3 linked regions of the Oryctolagus cuniculus genome follow. The protein of the gene in region 1 purifies or fractionates together with the protein of each later gene. This does not show direct contact. Links are inferred from orthologs where the notes say so. Each region holds a gene or a part of one and is shown in the gene's direction. Other genes may lie near its edges.

Evidence for each region.
Region 2: the proteins of NLRP3 (region 1) and TRIM31 purify together in Homo sapiens (affinity purification with western blotting; 3 studies listed by BioGRID). This does not show direct contact. The link is inferred for Oryctolagus cuniculus from reciprocal best matches to the Homo sapiens genes NLRP3 and TRIM31.
Region 3: the proteins of NLRP3 (region 1) and USP50 purify together in Homo sapiens (affinity purification with western blotting; 3 studies listed by BioGRID). This does not show direct contact. The link is inferred for Oryctolagus cuniculus from reciprocal best matches to the Homo sapiens genes NLRP3 and USP50.

Annotation. Positions count from the first base shown.
Region 1 is NC_091437.1:1,764,977-1,768,453, forward strand, and holds the end of NLRP3 (NACHT, LRR and PYD domains-containing protein 3), read left to right. Parts: intron 1-2,306; coding exon 2,307-2,406; 3' UTR 2,407-2,938; downstream 2,939-3,477. UniProt on the Homo sapiens protein: Sensor component of the NLRP3 inflammasome, which mediates inflammasome activation in response to defects in membrane integrity, leading to secretion of inflammatory cytokines IL1B and IL18 and pyroptosis.
Region 2 is NC_091436.1:140,344,284-140,348,644, forward strand, and holds the start of TRIM31 (E3 ubiquitin-protein ligase TRIM31), read left to right. Parts: upstream 1-1,519; 5' UTR 1,520-1,693; intron 1,694-4,361.
Region 3 is NC_091443.1:73,317,725-73,321,841, reverse strand, and holds the start of USP50 (ubiquitin carboxyl-terminal hydrolase 50), read left to right. Parts: upstream 1-1,228; 5' UTR 1,229-1,360; coding exon 1,361-1,413; intron 1,414-2,781; coding exon 2,782-2,976; intron 2,977-3,169; coding exon 3,170-3,395; intron 3,396-4,117. UniProt on the Homo sapiens protein: Deubiquitinating enzyme that removes conjugated ubiquitin from specific proteins to regulate different cellular processes. Regulates the inflammasome signaling pathway by deubiquitinating 'Lys-63'-linked polyubiquitination of the PYCARD/ASC adapter protein.

The DNA of each region.
Region 1 (3,477 bases):
GGGGCTAATTTTCCTTATACTTGCTCCCTCCTTTAAGCACTCCAGGCTTCCGGCTCTGCCATAGGTGTGCTGTGTGCCCCTCTATGTCCCGTGAATTCCCTAGACTTTGCCACATGGACATTAATCAGCCTCCAGGTTCTACAGTGCTGTCCCCTTTGCAGTCACTTGCGAAGCCCTGGTGCCATCTTGGGCGTCTCCTTGTACAGTCCCACAGCCCACCCCTAGCCACCTCTTTAGGTCTCCAGCTCAAGCCACAGTTCCCTGTTTTACTTTTTAAAGATTTATTAATTTTATTTGAAAGGCAGAGTTATAGAGAGAGAAGGAGAGACAGAGAAAGAGGTCTTCCATGATGGCCCAAGTCCTTGGGCCCCTGCACCCATGTGGGAGACATGGAAGGGGCTCCTGGCTCCTAGCTTCAGATCGGCACAGCTCTGGCCCTTGTGGCCAATTGGGGAGTGAACCATCAGATGGAAGACCTCTCTCTCTCTCTCTGCCTCTCCTCTCTCTGTGTAACGTTGGCTTTCAAATAAATAAATCTGAAAAAAAAAAAAAAAGAGAGAGAGAAAAGGTCTTCCATCTGCTGGTTCACTCCCCAAATGGCTGTGGCCTCCAGAGCTGGGCCAGATCGAAGCCAGGAGCCAGGATCTTCTTCCTGGTCTGCTACGTGGGTGCAGGAGTTGAACCGGTGCCCATATGGGATGCCAGCACTGCAGACGAGGCTTTATCCTCTGCCACAGCACAGGCCCTCACCATTCCCTCTTAGTACGGCTGCCCTGGGCTGCTGCTGTGCCACCGTCTGTGTTGTTCTCACTTTGGCCAACAGAGGACGCAGCTGAGATGAGAGCCAGACCCCACCACTCCCACCCCTCTTCCCAGTTTCTTCCTGTCACAAGCTCATGGCTGCCTTGGTGGCCCTGCGACTCCTAAAGAGTCTAGCGCTGGTGTGTCCTGCACGTCACTCTGGTCTCTTGCTGATTCAGACCCACGCAGGCTTTGGGACTCTGCAGCCACTGCCTCTGCTTGGAGCACTCTCCTTGTAGGCCTGTGCTTTCTGTCCCCAGGTCTGCTCCCCCAGGCACCTCAAATGTGCTGCTGGACACAGGAAGCAACCCCTTTATCATTGCCTCACTCCACCCCTCAGCGTAGACACCACCTCACCTGCTGCCCTCCCCTCCCCTCCCCTCAGCATAGACACCACCTCACCTGCTACCCTCCCCTCCACTCACTCCACCCCTCAGCGTAGACACCACCTCACCTGCCATGTTATATTTTTGTTGTTTCATTACCTATCTCTTCCCCCCAAATGCAAATTTCATGAGTCTTGGGACTCTGGTGTCTGTCTTAGCTCAAAGGTGCATAGATGCAAGTGTGGCTCTGCGCTGCTCTCTTGTGCAGACGCAGCAGGGTGCGTTTCCTGCAGTAAAGGCAACATTCCCAGAGCAAGAGAAGGAGGGACCCAGGGAAGCCTGGTCAGGACAAAGCTAGGGACTCTGCTGTGGGTGAGGTCACTGGCCCAGTCCAAGGGATACTTGGGTCCCAACCTGGGGCACAGGCTTAGCGTAGATGATGCCCCAGCTGGGCTCTGCTTGCCCTGCCATAAGAAAACACTGCGGCGCTGTGCACTGGTGGCTTAGACACAGATGGTTATCTTCTCACACACCCCATTGAGCCAAAAAGCCCAGAATTCAGGTTCTGGGGAATTCAGTGTCTGGCAAATGTGTTCATGAGCTGCACACACACACACACACACACACACACACATGAGTGGGTCAGAGACAGAGGGACAGAGACAGACACACAGAGCCGGAGTCAGAGCAGAGACGCAGAGCAGCAGAGGCAGAAGGAGCCGTCTAGTGTCTCAGGAGGACTCCTCTGACTCTGGGGGTCTCCAGACCCTGGCCGGCCGTTCACACACGTCTGGAGGAAACACTGGATTGTGAGCAAATCAGGGCCGATGGAAGCGACACAGGACAAAGATCTGGCTCCTGGGGTCTGAAGCCCTGGGTCCGAGGAGGCCTGGAGGGCCCGGGCTGCCACAGCACAGCCGACATGTAGCTGTGAGGAGATGCTCAGAGGCGGTCATTGACAGGGAGGCTGCAGGCACCGAGTGCATGGGCACTGTCTGCGGCGGCTCCGGCCGGGTCAGCTGCCACCACTTGGCCTTGCCACTGTGTTGGTAGACGTGCGGGGTGCAGGTCCCGTTCTTCCCAACACAGAGGTTACCAACTCGACAGGGCCGCGTGGACATGCCGCGCTCAGAGCGCCATACCCGCCGAGCCGCCTCTGAGTACCTGTCTGCCCCGCAGGTTGTGTGAGATGTACTTCAACCCTGAGACGATCCACGCCTTGGAAACACTGCGGGAAGAGAAACCTGCATTGACTGTCGTTTTCGAGCCTTCGTGGTAGCAACGGAGCTGCCCCCCTCCCCGCCCACCTGTGCCCAGGTGCGCCCATGTGGGAGGAACCCTCCTGCATCCAGTGTCAAGACCACAGCTCCGCTGTCCCCCAGGTCCAGCTGGAGAGCCAGGGCTTGTGGTGGAGCCCTCACGTGGGGAACCCTGTGCCTCCTGCGCCCCTGGCAGAGATTCTGGGCACAGCCCCTATGGTTAGCCTGCCTTTCCCGATTTCCGCTGGCTTTTGTCACTCACACTCCCACTGTCTGTCAGTGGACTGACCACCGACCACTGCATAAAGCTACGCCCTGCATGCTGTCTTGTAATTGTGTGTCCACTATGTATTTATTTTTAATGTTTTGTAACAGTTATATTTTCTAATAAAGATTCACGCCTATTGTAGCTTGCTGAAAATTCAGAAATATAAAACAACCTTTTTGTATTTATTGTGTTAAATTGTTTCCTGTACTTAATTTTTAAAAACAAGTACCTTGAAATTTTAAAAATTACTTATCTGAACTAATAAAGATGAATTAATTGCTCTATGAATGTAAAAGGTCTTTTTGTTCAGGGCATGCATCGCTGTGCCATGGGTTAATCTGCCACTTGGGACTCCTGCATCCTGTATCATAGTGCCTGGGATCAAGGCTGCTCCACTTCCCATGCAGCTTCCTGCACCTGGGAAGGCAGTGGAAGATGGCCCAAGTGCTTGGATCACTGCATCCATGTAGGAGACCTGGATGGAGTTCCGGGCTTCAGGCATGGATCCAGCTCAGGACCTGCTGTTGCGGACATTTGGGGAGTGAACCAGGGATGCATGATCTCTCTTTCTCTCTGTGTTTCTCCTGCCTCTCTATCACTCTCCTTTCAAACAAACTTAAAGACAGCTCTTTGTGAAATGATTCCATGTGGTAGTAGTGGGGGAGTGTCACCTAGCTCAGCTGGGACGGGGGTGGAACTCCTGCAGGGGACGTTCGTGGCTTCGTTTTTCTGGAGGAGGTGGCCAGTCCTGACCCTTGCCAGTCCTGACCCTTGGCCAGTTTCAGTTTCAGCACCTTGGGTGCTGGATGGGTGATGTTGGCTA
Region 2 (4,361 bases), on another chromosome or scaffold:
AGACCTCTCTCTCTCTCTCTCTCTCTCTCTCTCTCTCTGTGTGTGTGTGTGTGTAAATCTGACTTTCAAATAAATAAATAAGAGCTGGCAAAGAAATACCTGGCCAAGGAAAGTGAGCCCTGATAAATGTAGAGTCCGGGGGAGGGGAGGGAGGCCAGCATAAAACTGTGTAAGAGGAAGAGGAGAAGCCCAGGGAAGAGACTACCTGTAAGACAGAGAAGACAGGGGCACCAGAGAGGAACATTTGCCAGTAAGGGAAAAAATATATCTTGTGGCAGAAACAGCCAAAGAATTTTTCAGAATGCTAATGTGTGATGCTACACTGTAAACTATGAGCTCTGCAGCCATGTCCGTTGGTGAGACCCATCCTTGGCCCCAGCACTCAGCCTCCTCTCTGCCTGGATCTCCAGGGTGCAGTCAGTCAATCTGCCACACACACAACTACTGTGCAAGAAACAACTTAGAGAAACCAAAGAAAAGATGCTGTGCTCCATCTGATGATGCATTCTCCGAAAAGTGGGACATGAGCAGAGCAGGAACTCAAGATCTGAGACTCAGCAGAGACCTCGGGAGCTGCTAGCAAAGCCACAAGGTCTTGGTGGAAACCCCTGAATTCTCCCCAGTGGCGAGGAGGAAACAATTAGCTGACAATACTGCTACTTGCTCTCACTTGTGTGTGGAGCGTAAAACAGCTGAACTCATAGAAGCAGAGAGTAGAATGGTGGTTACCAGTGGCTAGGGAGGGAAATGGGTTAGGGAGATGTTGGTCAAATGATACAAAATTTCACTTAAGAGAAATTGATTCAAGATTTCTATCATACATCATAGTGATTCTAGGTTTATCTGTATTCTTAAAAATTGCTAAGGGGTGGATTCTACATGTTCTTACCATCTTAGAAGTAAATGAGCAAGAAAACAATTGGCCTGAAATGCATTGAGGCTACTACTCATTCACCAGATTGAAAAAGCATCCTTAGGGCCAGCACCATGGTGCAGTGGGTTAAAGCCCTGACCTGCAGTGCTGGCATCCCATATGGGCACTGGTTGGAGTCCCAGCTGTTCCACTTCTGATCCAGCTCTCTGCTATAGCCTGGGAAAGCAGTCCTTGGGGGACCTGAAAGAAACTCCTGGCTCCTGGCTTCATCCTGTCCAGCCTCAGCTGTTGTGGCCATTTGGGGAGTGAACCAGCGAATAGAAGACCTCTCTCTCTCTCTGTGTCTCTCTCTGAACTTTGTCTTTCAAACAAAAAAATAAAAAAGAGACTTCTTAATATTTGAGTGCTACCTGAAACCTGCTTCTGAGCAGCACAGCATGACAGACTGGCACAGAAGTTTTGGTTGCAGACTTAGAAAGGGATGGGTCCACCCCCCAAGTGGAGTGTGTGTGAACGGCTGACTTACTGTAAGTACTTAGCTGGACACACCTGTTTCAATAAAAGGTTAAGACTGCTCAACTAGCCACTTCCTTGTAATAGAAAAGAATCAAAACAAGCCAGCAAGTGCAGAGAGTGAGACACAGCCCAGAGGGAGGAGACTTCAGAGGTAATTGTGCTGCCCTTTCGGGATGTGAGAGTAAGACCTACCTTGAAGTTTGTGGCTTGACTGTCCCATTCCAAGGCCTTGAGACAGGACCTAACAATGCATTCCAACATCATACTATGAAAACACGTTGAATCATTTGTGGAGAGAGCAAAGTAAGTTTATTTTGGTGCAAAAATCTTTTTGAAATTCATGCGGTTTTTTTTTCATGATATTCACTTTCTTTGAACTTTGTGAAGTACCTGCATATTTTATGAATTTGTAAAAGTGATATTTTAATTCCAGTTAGGATTGCTGTCTCTATTTCAGTTTTCTCTACCACAGTATCCTTCTATCAGTGACATTTGGGGGATCGAGTTGAAGGGAAATTGAGTTGGGCTTACACTGTTTGGGTTTACTAAGTTATGTGGTTCAAAAGCACTTCCATATATAATCAAGTTATTGCTGTCTGTCTCAGTGTAGCAATGTCTTCTGGGAACACTGCTACCACCAAGACAACTCATTTGACATGAGACTGAAGTGCAAGGTTGGAGGACCTCCAGAATAAGAACATGTCCCATCATATGAGCTGCCAGAAGTATGTAGACAGTGAAGACAAGCTATCCTTTCAATCCTTAGATGCATAAAATTTAAGTCTAGGGTTCAGTCTCATCAATATCTAGTCAAAGTAGAAGTGCTTTTCTTCAGGAATATATTTGACAATACAACATATACAATTATACATATATCAAAAAATTAAATATTTACATGTTTCAACATGAATTCAGTAGAAGTTATCCTGATTTCAGACAGAGAATTAAAAGAATACAAACTTTTTAGTTTCAAGCAAAGGCGTTAATTTTTGGAGGGAAAAAAATGATTTTAATTATAAAAATAGATGCTTAGTTTTTTTCTAATCAATTGGTGAAGAATGAATTTTATAAAACATTGAAATTTTGAAATATTTCTGGTTAACTTGATATAAAATATTGATATCTACAAACATATTTTCATAGTGCATCTTTACAACAAGGTAGATGACCTTCAGTAATGTATTTAAGGTGAGTCACTGCTGTGAAAATTTGAAATGCCCTGAAATCTAAGGGGCACTTAAGAAGCTTTTAACACTAGCCAGTGCTATGGCAGAGAGCGTAAAGCCACCGCCTGCAGTGCTGGCATCCCTTACATTCATCAGTTCAAGTCCTTGCTGCTCCACTTCCAATTCGGCTCTCTGCTATGGCCTGGGAAAGTAGTAGAAGATGGCCCAAGTCGTTGGGCTCCTGCACCCCAATGGGAGATCCAAAAGACGCTCCTGGCTCCTGGCTTCTGGCTTCAGATAGTGTTGTGCCCAGATCATTAGATCCCCGCAGAGACCCCCAGAGAGTCGATCACACCGAACTGCAAGAGCAAGGTTTATTCGGGAGTACAAGCCACGACAGGGACCCCATCCAAGCAACTGGCACAGCGGAGGAAGGAGTGAGGCCCCGGTCTTTGTTTGGGAGAGTTTTTAAAGGAAAAAAGGGATACATCAGCAGGAAAAGAGTTACATACAGCACAGAAGCTTTGGGTTCAGGGAGTTACAGCCGGGGCTGACAGCACAGGAGCTCTGGGCGCAGGAAGTTACTTTGTTCAGCAATCTCTACTGTGCTGTCCTTGATCTACTGAGCTAGCTGTCCCTGGTAAGCTTTGATATCTCTGGGATGCCTGAATGCCTGCTTTCACAAGGACCTGGGTCTGCTATGGGAAACGGAGGCTGCTTTTTTTATTGTTTTAAAATGGAGTCACTTTGGCTCTTCATTCCCCTATTGATTTTGTGCATGTTTGAAGAACCCAATCATGGGTTTTGGACAGACATTTTATAGGTTTTACAAACATTGAAGGGTTTATATTGGGACCGTTGGACCATTAATTGAATGGTGCCCAATCTCTGTTTCATAAACTGTATAAGTTTGTTAACAATGGAAGGGCTGAAGGTTAAAATTAAAATCAGGAGAACAAGGGGCCCTATGAGTCCTGATAGTAGGGGGCTTGCCACGGAGAAGAATTGAACCAAGACTCAAACCACCCCTGAGAGGCCTCCTGTTCTCTTGTTTTGCCAGCCCTCCCTGACCTTAGCCAGTCATGTTATCTTTTATTAGGCCCGAGTGATGGGCATAAAAGCAGCATTCTTTCCCAGAGTGGTGCACAGCCCACCACATTGGTCCCAGAAATCCAAGAGGTGCAGAGGGATGACGATCCGTCTTCAGAGTCACCCCTGCTGTCGTGGAGCAATGAGGCACTCTTCACTGCCATGGGGCGATGTCTTAAGCCACTGTCTCCTGGGTGGGGAGCCGAGACATTCCTGTAGTAGCATTTGGTTGACCGCCTGGTTGCCGAAGGCCTTGGTTCACTCCATCACCAGCTGTAAACACTTAAACAGACACTGTAGTATAGAGACAGGGTGAGGATAAGGCAGATTCCAGCCAAAACTGGGAGAAAAGCCACTCATTAGTGTGGGAGAGGATTATCAGTACACACATGTTGGGAGTATAAGTGGCAATCCACTACAGAGAACAAAGAATTTACAGAAATTTTTACTGTTTAATTTCTGCTCTACTTTTATACACAGAATAATGACTAGTTATTTGTAGCATGTCTTTAACTTTTTAACTTTGTGCATTTACTTTTCCTCAACAAGGCAGAGCTGCTGTTGCTATTTGTAACTGAGACAGCAGTTGATACTTAATAGGAAACACTGCTCACAGAACTGTATTCCCTACTAGCCAAATTTACCTAATAATGAATTATTTTGATAATGGAGAGCAGATACCATATGCACTAATTATACAAATGTTAAAGTCACAG
Region 3 (4,117 bases), on another chromosome or scaffold:
GGTTCTAGTCCCTGCTGCTCCTCTTCCAGTCCAGCTCTCTGCTGTGGCCCGGGAGGGCAGTGGAGGATGGCCCAAGTCCTTGGGCCCTGCACCCGCATGGGAGACCAAGGAGGAAGCACCTGGCTCCTGGCTTCGGATCAGTGCAGTGCTGCAGAGCCACCCGAGGTGACTTCAAGAGACATCACTGTCCCGATGGTGACTCAAGTACTTGAGTACCTCCCACACATGGGAGACTCCTGGCTTCAGCCCTGGGTGCTTTGGGTATTTGCAGGGTGAACGATTAGATGGAAGACCTCTGTTTCTATGTTTCTGTGCCTTTCAAATAAATTAAAATAAGTAAATAACTATTTTAAAGAGATACCACAAATAGCAAACAGCTGCAGGAGCTGTCACATCTAGTTGTCAGGATCCTTTATCCAGGTGTCAAAGTAGGGTTACTCTTCATACCTTGTGCAGCCTGAGCAACTGTGTGTGTGACTTTTAACCACTAGGATAGTGGCTCCAGCCCTCATGAAGGGAAATTCTCTATTCAACCCCAATGCAAAGCATTTGGAAGCAGCAACATCCAGCTGCCTCAGGGTGGGGGGTGTTCCTCCCCAGGAGGGGGGAATGTGTGCTCAGAGTGGGCAGGATCACCAGAGCGCCCCCTAACTCTGGTGGTAAATCTTTGGTGCATATGCATGCATGCATGGGATGGGGAGACTGGTACTGTGGCGTAGCAGGTAAAGCCACCGCCTGCAATGCCGTCATCCCATATGGGTGCCAGTTCAAGTCCCGTCTGCTCCACTTCTGATCCAGCTCTCTGCTATGGCCTGGGAAAACAGTGGAAGATGGCTCAAGTCCTTGGGCCCCTGCACCCCGTGGGAGACCTGGAGGAAGCACCTGGCTCCTGGTTTCAGATTGGTGAAGCTCCGGCTGTTGCAGCCAATTGGGGAGTGAACCAGCAGATGAAAGAACTCTCTCTCTGCCTTTCCTCTCTCTGTGTAACTCTGAATTTAAAATAAATAAATAAATAAATCTTTATTTAAAAAAGAGTCTTAATAAAAAATTCAAATAAACATGCAGTTCATTCTGTCCAGTGTAGTCTTTCCAAGCAGTTCAACCAACCTAATAACAGTGTCTCACGGCAACATGCTAGAATCTTGGGGGTGAATGGAAAGGATTGTGATGCATGGGAAAATCCAAGTTGCAGTGGTGCCTGATACAGGGGAAAATCAGTTTGCCGCTTCAGAAAGGCGGAAGGAGCATATAAATTGCTTAAAACAGACAAAGGGAGGCATAATGGACTTGGAGAAATGAAGTTGAAAGGATTAGCCGCTGCTCCTGAATAGATGTCAGAGTCCAGCGTGGTTCCACTACGATGACTTCTCAGCGGTCATTCCCTGCGGACGACTTCGGTATCTACTATGTCCTGTGAGCCTCTGTCTCCTACAGCTTTCCACCTGAGCTCCAGGGTGGGGGTGGGGGGGAGAGTCTCATCAAAGAAATCGGGGTACATGCCGCATTTGGGAAGGTTCCCCCAGATTTGGCCCACAGAGGTCGAGGTCCTCCCAAAGGAAGGGACTAGATTTAATATCTAGGCAGTAGACCCATGTCTTTTTTTAAAATTAATTTATTTATTTGAAAGAGTTACAGAGAGAGAGAGAGACAGAGAGAGATGTCTTCCATCCACTGTTTCACTCCCCAAATGGCCACAATGGGCAAGGCTGGGCCAATCGAAGCCAGGAGCCAGGAGCTTCCTCCAGTTCTCCTATGTGGGTGCAGGGGCCCAAAGCCTTGGGCCATCCTCTGCTGCTTTCCCAGGTGCATTAGCAGGGAGCTGGACTGGAAGTGGAGCAGACTGGACTCGAGCCAGTGCCTTATGGGATTCCAACACTGCAGGCAGTGGAGTTACCCTCTACACCACAGTGCCAGCCCCCTCCTCGTCCTTCTTAAAGCAAGACAGGGCTTCCCATGACGTTGTAAGGAAACATGAAAATGACCATGTGTCCAGTGAGCACTTTTCAAACTGACATAGCTAAGTAGAGGTACTGTGAGGAAGCTGTCTCACAGAGCTCAAACTGTAGAGGCAGTGCTTGGAAAGAAGAATCATAAAGGGCAAAGATGGTGGGCTGGCAACAAACCAGGAAAGGAAGCCGTGGATGGGGAGGGGATTCTTCCTCGCTACCGCCCAGTGTGGGCCCAGCGGATTTACCTGAGCACTAACTCCACAGTTTCCTGCCAAAGATAGCCTTGATCACTCACGTTAACATTTTCTAACAGTTTCTCAATATGTATATGTGTATATATATGTAATTGTTCCTACGCTGTAAAATTATTAAAAGAATTTAATGAAAAAATGTATACAGTTCCAGGTTCAAAACATGATAGCTATTGCTATTGACTGTTATCTATTGTTACTATTATTATCAAAAATTATTTATGTTTGCAGCATAAAGGTAATACTTCGGTATTCAGCAAGAAAGTCTGCAATTTTAGTCAAGCAAATCTAAGACTAAGACTTTGAAAGGTTGATATTTTCAGTTCTCTTGCTTTGGTTTTAGGAAGAAACGTTTCTCTGTTATATATGGATGGCTTCGCACACTTGTTCTGAGTTCTGGACTAAATAATGCCACTTGAGCCTTCAAGTGCACATGCTTAAGTCCTTAGTAGGAGTGTGTTTGAGGGAGACTCTTAGCAAGAACTCTTCTTGGTTTCATGAGGTTGAGAGGAAATTATTGTCATTTGTATATATTTTGTTCCCCAAAATGCTTGCTTGCTTTCCACGTGGCACCAACACAGTGCAGAGTGCACAGATCATTATGATACCCTTCCAGTTAACGAGGCTGAAAAGAACCAGCCCCACTTCCAGGGGGTCACTGGCCTGCGGAACTTGGGCAACACGTGCTACATGAACGCCATCTTGCAGTGTCTCGGCAGCATCTCGCCGCTGGTGGAGTACTTCCTCTCCGGAAAGTACATTACTGCTCTCCAAAAGTAAGACCATCCGCGGGCCCTGCAGCCCACCCCCGCCCACAGGGTCCCCTCCCTCCCCAGGCGGAAGCTCCCCCCATGAGTGACACATCGAGGGTGAATAAAGCAGGAAGGGTAGTTGGGAAATGATTGAAGCCCTGTTTTTGGACTGATTCTCCAGGCTTGAGTGACAGGGGTCTTCTTTTCATTCAACCAGCCAGAAACCTGCCCGTTTTTTCCTCTCAAGGGACTGCAGTGATGTGGCCACTGCCTTCGCTTACCTGATGACAGACATGTGGCTTGGAGACTCAGACTGTGTCTCACCGGAAATATTTCGGTCGGCTCTTGGCAACCTCTACCCAGCATTCATGAAAAAGACACAACAAGATGCTCAGGAATTCTTGATTTATGTCCTAAATGAACTTCATGAAGCTCTGAAAAAGGTGAGTAGAATAAGTGACCTTGAAACAGGACGCACCTGCAGCTTCAGCAGAAACTCCCATTTTTCTGTCTTCAATTCCTTCAGTCAAAATGGCCTACTCTGTGCCAAGCACCGTGCTAGCAGCTGAGGGGTACTTGTGTTTGAATGTTGAACTGCATTTACCGTATGTACTGATCATCAAGAGCCCCTGGGAAGATTAGAGTCGGAGGTGCTTACTCCAGTGTTAATGAGTAAGACTGGAAGAGTCTCACAGGGCATATCTGGTGATCAGCCAGGGCCAGCAACCACGAATCCGGTTCCCTTTGCGCGTAAAAACTGCATGGACCCAGTTTTCAAAGTAGAAATTGTTAAATAAAAGTATGTTTTGAATGAGAAATACCATAATGAATTTTATAATTTAATTTTCTTGGTACCTACAAACCCATGAAAATATTGACCTTGGTATAAAATTAGGGGCCAGACTAGGCCCTGCCAAGTTTCTCTTCACACCAACTCACCTAACCTCCAGCATGTGTTGGATTTAGGACATGTATTTGATTAAACATGAAATCACCAGTTATTCTAGGGGTTTTGCCTTCATTTAGAGAACTCACTACCTGTAGCCTTGGTCTATGACCCACACTCTGGGAAGATATGTCCTTGACTTTATGCAATGTTCTTGTGTGAATGTTACCTCACTGCACACGTAACGCCCCCAAAAAATAACACGAAGATCACAAACTA